Linked DNA regions of Oryctolagus cuniculus. The protein of the gene in region 1 interacts with the protein of each later gene in a pairwise test. Links are inferred from orthologs where the notes say so. Each region holds a gene or a part of one and is shown in the gene's direction. Other genes may lie near its edges.

Region 1 (3,813 bases):
TAAATCATTATCTGCTAATATATTACAGCTTATTAGAGTTATTTCAAAGGACTGTCCAAATTGTATGTGTGTGTGTTTGGTGTGTTTTTGTGTCGCTGTGTTTATCAGTGAAGCCCAGAGTTAATACCTGACAATCATGTTTTAGTGTGATATTGCTTGGTTGTTTTTGAAAGAATACCTATATAATCTTAGCTTTCATCTGTGTACAGGAAGATTTGGTAGATATTGTTGATACTCGAATTCACCAATTAGAAGACTTAGAGGCTACTTTTGCTGATTTGTGTGATGGTGATAATGAAGAAACAGTACAAAGATGGGCTTCAAATCCTGGGTAAGACCCTTGCATGTTTTCCCCCAACTTTATTAGCTTTCAGTACTAAGTATACTCCTAAATTTGCTATAAAAATTGCTTTGTTAAAATTGGTGTTAAATTTCAAATGGATTTACTATCAATAGTTAGCATTTATTTTTTCCTCTGTGCCCTCTGTCTATAAAATTTTTCCTTACATTATCTCATTTATTCCTCAACAACAACCTTATGGTTTTATTATTTTATGTACATTTAGTAGATGTGAAGGAAAAAGCACAGAGATTAAGTATGTCACTCATAATAAGTAGTCATGCTTTCAGTTGTCATTCAATAGCTACCCCTAAATATAAAATAATAAGCTAGTCTTTCAAAGGATTAAAGATGAATATATAGATAGTCCCTGGTATATAAAAAGTAAGAAAAAATTTTCAAAAGAAAAGTAATTGCCTTGACAAATAAATTATAATATGGAAATTAATCTCCTTTTAAGAATAATGCAACTACTGATAGAAGAGCTTATTTTCAAAGCATTCATGACATGAGGAAACAGGATTTGGATGCTCAGTTCTTCATCAGGTCAATTACTTGACCGATTCTTTCATTGTTAACATAGCATGAAAGTAGAAAGAGAAAATTTCTTTTAGAGTGAAAACCATTGGTATTAAAGCTGGCATGAAAGAATATATTAATGTTAATATTGTAGTTAGTTTTCTTTAAAATAATTCTATAGATTATGTAAACTCAGAAGGCCAGAAAACTAAAATAAAATAGTCAAACTCTTTGTCTCCTTGAACATAGAAAGACCACAACTAGTTTGTTTGTTTGTTTGTTTGCTTTTTGACAGGCAGAGTTAGACAGTGAGAGAGAGAGAGACAGAGAGAAAGGTCTTCCTTCCGTTGCCTCACCCCCGAAATGGCCGCTTGGGCCGGCGCGCTGCGCTCATCCAAAGCCAGGAGCCAGGTGCTTCCTCCTGGTCTCCCATGCAGGTGCAGGGCCCAAGGACTTGGGCCATCCTCCACTGCCTTCCCAGACCACAGCAGAGAGCTGGACTGGAAGAGGAGCAACCGAGATAGAATCCGGTGCCCCAACCAGGACTAGAACCCGGGGTGCCAGCACTGCATGCGGAGGATTAGCCAAGTGAGCCACGGCACCAGCCCACAACTATTTTAAAATTGATCTCCCACAAACCTAACTAATGATTCTCTACAGTGTAAACAGAAGGAAGAAATCAGCTGTAAGACAACAATAAAAAATATGAAGTTAAAATCACAATACTTTAGACAAAAATTAATGGCCACTAAAATTTTTCATGTTAGTTATTGAAAACAATTCATCAGGTCTCCAGTAGATTACAGAGAAAATTGGAACAGCCTTTGGAGAGGAATCATGTGGCTAAAAGGTAAAGTGTATGAGTGAGAAATACCTTCTTTTGCTATGTGCATATTATCACCTTTTCAAAATATGCTTTGTAATTTCAGCTCAAAAATTTCAGAAACATCTGTGGTTTTTAAATATCATAAACTTTATTATCACCATGGAAAACAGTGGTATGGAAGAATGACTGATAATAATTTGTTCACATTAGTGAATGTTGGCCAGGTACAGTTCATAATCTTTCTTTTTGGTGTAGGGAGCTAGTTCTAAAAATGATACCCTCTTTTTTGAAATTATGATGGAAGAAGGAGATACAAGTCACAGGACATGAATGTTCCTAGAAATATTAAAAAGAATCCACCATTTCAAGATTTCATGAAGCCTTAAGCCAAGTTTTAAATGTAATAACAACAGAATAGGCCTGGAAACCTTACAGTCCTGAATGTAGCCCGGAGACAGGGCCACCTTGCACTGTAACCTAGGTGCCTGTTGAACATGCCCAGTTATCTCATCATCTCCTGCAGGTAGTTCCACCACAAACAGGAAGATATGTTAAGACTGCAACAGTGGTGAGTTTATATTGTCTCTGAAATTGGAAGGAGAAAGAGCAACACAAAGGAAAATTAAGTGAGACAGTAAGAAAAGTCCCCTCCAATCAGCTATCACTCTGGGGGTAGGAGTGTTCACTGTGCCTAAGGAAGTGAAGTGGTGGTTAAGGTTCAGAAGCCCAAGGAAGGAATAATAGGGCAACTAGACAGACAGGTCTTTGTGTCTTCTTGGTTCCCCCCCCCGCCAACAAATTAGTGGATATTGGTGGAGAAGGCATTAAAATACCACGAACATTAGTCAGTTTATCAGAGATTCCAAAGACTTCTACCTAAATTAAGTAACTTGAAAGTACCACTATTACTGTATTAGATAGAATGGAATTTTTCTGATTATAATTATATATTGATATACATTGCTCTCATTTATCTTTAACTTTTGAGAAATAGTGTTTTTCATCACAGTATGCTAAAGGCACTTGATTTTCCTGCTGACCAAAATAGTTTTTAAGTGCAGGCCTTCTGACACAGCAGGTTAAGCTGCCACCTGCATGCCGGCATCCCGTATCAGAAGACAAATTCAAATTCCTGACTACTAGGATTCCAATCCAGCTCTGTGCTGACGTGCCTGAGAAGGCAGCAGATGATGGCCCACATATCTGGGGCCCCTAAACCCGTGTGGGAGACCCAAGTGGAGCTGTCCAGGCTCCAAGCTTTGGCCTGGCCTGGCCCAGCACTTGTTGTTGGCAGCTATCTGGGGAATGAATCAGAGGATCCAAGATCTCTTTCCCCGCCCCCACCCCAGCCCTCCCCCACCACCACCACAACTCTCCCTTGCCTCCTCTCCCTATCAATCTGCGTTTCACATAAATAAAATCTTTTTTAAGAAATAATTTTTAATATAAGAGCTTCTCATTTCTAGAGAAGAAAACATCATTTTCTTCAGTGATTGTTTTCAACTTTTAACACAATCTGCAATTTTTTACATAAGAAAATGGTAGGGAACATTTATAACAGCTTTATTTTTCATTTCCCAATCACCATATGAAACGTTCCGAATGGTAAATGTTAAGTATAATGTGTTACTTTGCTATCGTAATTTTAGTTTAAGTGGTTGTGATGTTTGATTGAATAGGGTGGTTTTTTTTTCCAGAATGGGATCACTAGTTCCACTTGTACAGAGTTTAAAAAAACGAATGGAAGTGCCTGACTATGAAATGGTAAATATTTTTATATTAAGTTATGTAAAATTGACCCATTTTATATAAAGGCAGTTTTCTGAGTAGAAAACTTTGCTTTTGTAAAGATGGTTTGTTTTATTTGTATTTCTCTGAAGTCTAAATGAATTCTTAAGAAAAAGCATAAGTGAAAAACACATACTTTTAGAAGCCAGAATACGGTTAACTATGACATATTTGAGTTCCAGCTTTCAAAACAAAAGTTGCAAAATGACAGCCTGTGAGCGACTTGTAGCTTTCAAATTTCTTTGGTAGTAAAACTGAAACACCACTCATTTAAAATTAAAACACATATGTAGATACCAATAGGTTGTCATTATACATAAAGGATACATTAGAAAACAAC
Region 2 (3,721 bases), on another chromosome or scaffold:
TTGTGGCGTCACTGGTAAAGCCACTGCTTGCAACTCCAGTTCGAGTGCCGGCTGCTCCGCTTCTGATCCAGCTCCTGCTAATGCACCTGGGAGAGCAGTGGAGGATGGGCCAACTGCTTGGGCCCCTGCACCCGCGTGGGAGACCCGGATGGAGTTCTGGCTCCTGGCTTTGGCCTGGCCCAGCCCTGGCCATTGTGGCCATTTGAGGAGTGAACCAGCAGATGGAAGATACCACTTTCTGTCTCTATACCTGCCTTTCAAGTAAATACATACATCCACCCCAGTCCCCCCCGCCCTGTCCCGCTCCAACTCTACCTCCGCCCAGGCTCCTGGGTCCTGTACCCGCCCTCAGCCCTTCCCTCCCTTCGCCCCCCTGTGGCCTCTGGGGTCCTGCTGAGCACGCAGAAGCCCCCTGCCCGCCCCCGGCGCCACTCTCGCACGTGCCGTTGTGGAGGCGGCCCATCCCCCGCGCGCCCTCCTTGTTTGGTGGGACCTGGGTGTCACACGAGAGGAGCGGCCACCATCAGGGGCTTAGTGCTTTGGCCCGGCTGGCCCCTCTGCCGCCGGCTGGCCCTCCTGTGTCACTGTTCAGCCTTTCGGAGCTGTTAACAAAATGGGGAGGGGGCCGATGTGGCTCGGCGGCTCTCGAAGTCGGAGTCTTGGCTGCTCCGCCTCTGATGCAGCTCCCCGCGAAGGGGCGTGGGTAAACAGCAGACGATAACCCAAGTGCTGTGGCCCCTGCCACCCGCGTGGGAGACCTGGGTGGTGTTCCTGGTGCCTGGCACGGCCCTGGCTGTTTTGGCCACCTTGTGGGGGGATGAGAACAGATGGAGGCGCATGGTTGCTCTTTCAAATATACAAAATGCCGGAGACAGGCTCCTTTTATAAAGAAAGATTCACTTAGCTCAGTGTTTTGGAGGCGACAAGTGGTGCGGGCTCTGTTGAGGGCCTCGGGGTGCGTGGTGGGTGCCTGGGCTGTGCAGGAAGTGGAGAGAGACTTCCAGAACTCACTCCAGAGGCTGGCACTCCCTTCCTATCCGGGGCAGAGCCCTCAGTGACCCAGGAACCTCCCCCAAGCCTGCCTCTTAAAGGTGCCACCTGCTGATTTTTTTTTGCATTATTTTCATTCTGATTTGAAAGAGAGACACACGGATCTTCCATCTGCTGGTTCACTCCCCCAAATGCCCACAACAGCCAGAGCTGGGCCAGGCTGAATGTAGGAGCCTGGAGCTCCACCCGGGTCCCCGGCATGGGCGGTAGGGACCCAAGTAGTTGGGCCGTCTTCCCCTGCCTCCCAGGGTGTGCGTTAGCAGGAGGCAGGATCAGGAGTGGAGGAGCCAGGACTAAAACCAGGCGTTCCTATGTGGCATGTGCCTGCCCCTCCACACACACACCCCTTTTGGGGGAAGATTTATTTCATTTATTTGAATGGCAGAGTGACAGAGGAAAAGATCTTCGAATGGCTGGTCCACTCCCCTAAAGGCCACAGCAGCCGGGGTTGGGCCAGGCTGAAGCCAGGAGCTCCATCCGGGTCTCCCACGTGGGTGGCGGGGGACCAAGCACTTGGGGGCCATTTTCCGCTGCTTGTCCAGGCACTTGAGCAGGGAGCTGGATCGGAAGCAGCGCTCTGGGATGGGATGCCAATGGCTTACACTCCCACTGCGCCGCAACCCTGGTACCCCCCGCCCCACCAGGCTGGGCACCAGCACGTGACCCCTGGGGGGACGGAACCAGAGCCCAGCGCAGTGCCTGTGTCTTCCTCCTGGGAGTCCCACAGCCTCTCTATCTTACACATGGGCGGGGTCACAGATCAGTGCGGGAGCGGGGTTACAGCCAGGGCCCCCCCCCCCCCGCAGCCCTTAAACCACCCTGGGGCCCTGCCAGGCCCTCTTCCCAGCCTGCTTCCTGGATCCCGCAGCTGGTGGGCTCCCGGGTGCTGCAAGCCCCCCTCACGCCCACCCTCCCCCACCCCCACAGTCTCACCCACCCGCGGACATGGGACGCCGGAAGTCCAAGCGGAAGCCGCCCCCCAAGAAGAAGATGACGGGCACCCTGGAGACCCAGTTCACCTGCCCGTTCTGTAACCATGAGAAGTCCTGTGACGTGAAAATGTGAGTGGGGGCTGGGGCACCCAGGCCTCCCCGCGCCTCCCTGGCTGGGGTCGGGGGTCTGGGGTTACCGCCACAGGTGCGGGGCTCCTTCACTCACCAGCCCCCCGCCCCCACCCCCTTCCAGGGACCGTGCCCGAAACACTGGAGTCATCTCTTGTACCGTGTGCCTAGAAGAATTCCAGACACCCATCACATGTATCCTTGGAAAACGGGCTGTTTGGTGGGGACGGGTGGGCAGGCAGGGCTGCCCAGCCCAGGGTGGGCTCAGGGGGTACCTGGCCCTGCTGTGTGTGCAGGTGCAGGGCCTCAGCTACGCAGTGGGAGGGGCCTGGCTGACATTGGGGTCAGCAGTGCAGGTGCCTGGGAGGGAACAGTGGCCACCGCCACCGGTCGCCCTTGACCCCCGCGTTTCAGATCTGTCAGAACCAGTGGACGTGTACAGCGATTGGATAGACGCCTGCGAGGCGGCCAATCAGTAGCCACACAGAGGACCCACCCCCCTCGGCGGGCTGCCTGCCGCAGACTCATCCAGAGACATTCCAGGGGTCCGGGGTGTGGGTCCGGGCTGCTACCGCCCTCCGTGTGTGTGACTGTGTGTGTGTGCGCGCACGGTGGGCATGGGTGGCCACGAGGCTGGCCCTGCCGTGCGGCTCGAGCTGAGGGCTTGCAGGGCCCGAGGGCCCGGACTGGCCTCACTTGGCCCCTAGAGCCGTTGACCCTCCCCTTTCTCCGCCTCCAGGCTCTGGGGCGCTGGCTCCTCAGTGGGCAGGGGAAGCCCACAGACCCGGGGTGGGAGCTCTGTAGCCTCCGTGGCTGCCTCACCAGCACCTGGCCCCTCCGAGCCGGGCTCTCCCTCCCCCTCCTTCCTCCATCCCCCTCCCCCTTCATCCCCCCTCCCCCCATCCCGGTGCTTGTGGCCCAGGCTCCACAGCCCCCATTCTCCAGTCCCTTGTTGGGCCCAGCGGGGCAGGGAGCCGGCTCCCCTGTGCCGCCCTGGAAGCCCCATTTCCCGTTCAGTAGCTTTTGAGAGGAGGCAGGGGCTGGGGTGGGGACAGCCGTCAGTCACAAGTCCTTAAATAAAAGGCGCTGATGGAGATTCCTGACTTCTTGGGGTGTGCACCTGCCGCGGCACGAGAGGAGGGAGGGGCTGTGCTCAGATGCGTGGGGCTTGCCAGGACTTGAAGCTGTCCTGTGTCGTGTTTGCTCTCTAAGTGCTCAGGGGGACCTGGGCGCTGCTGGGTGCAGGGGCCCCCATGGCCAGGCGCTCACAGTGGGAAACGGGGCAGAATGAAGGTGGTGAGGGGAGCCTTCTTAGAGGGCTGCCTGCAGAGGTGGCGCTCAATGGCCCGTGCTTGCCTGCCTCTGGAGTGCACCAAAACCCTCCAGACCTGCAGGACGGTGGGGGTCACTGGCCCAGGCCCTTATGTCCAGCAGGTGGCGCCACAGAGCCAAGACCCAGGAACGTGGCTGCTCAGCCACGATCTTAGCAGACCGGGGGTCCAGTCTGAGGGATGCGGGAGCAGGGGAGGGGCTTCAGGAAGCCGCAGGGGTGTGGAGAAGTTTTGGAGTGCGGGGCGGGGCCCCCAAGGCTGATGGCGAGCCCCTGGGGG

What was found.
Region 2: the proteins of C14H5orf22 (region 1) and ELOF1 interact in binary tests that used the Homo sapiens proteins (3 or more experiments, as listed by UniProt). The two-hybrid records come from large-scale screens. The link is inferred for Oryctolagus cuniculus from reciprocal best matches to the Homo sapiens genes C5orf22 and ELOF1.

Annotation. Positions count from the first base shown.
Region 1 is NC_091445.1:57,762,186-57,765,998, forward strand, and holds part of C14H5orf22 (UPF0489 protein C5orf22 homolog), read left to right. Parts: intron 1-209; coding exon 210-331; intron 332-1,647; exon of another isoform or gene 1,648-1,709; intron 1,710-2,208; exon of another isoform or gene 2,209-2,253; intron 2,254-3,382; coding exon 3,383-3,449; intron 3,450-3,813.
Region 2 is NC_091447.1:66,342,066-66,345,786, forward strand, and holds the end of ELOF1 (transcription elongation factor 1 homolog), read left to right. Parts: intron 1-71; exon of another isoform or gene 72-261; intron 262-1,977; coding exon 1,978-2,111; intron 2,112-2,235; coding exon 2,236-2,306; intron 2,307-2,525; coding exon 2,526-2,590; 3' UTR 2,591-3,207; downstream 3,208-3,721. UniProt on the Homo sapiens protein: Factor involved in transcription-coupled nucleotide excision repair (TC-NER), a mechanism that rapidly removes RNA polymerase II-blocking lesions from the transcribed strand of active genes.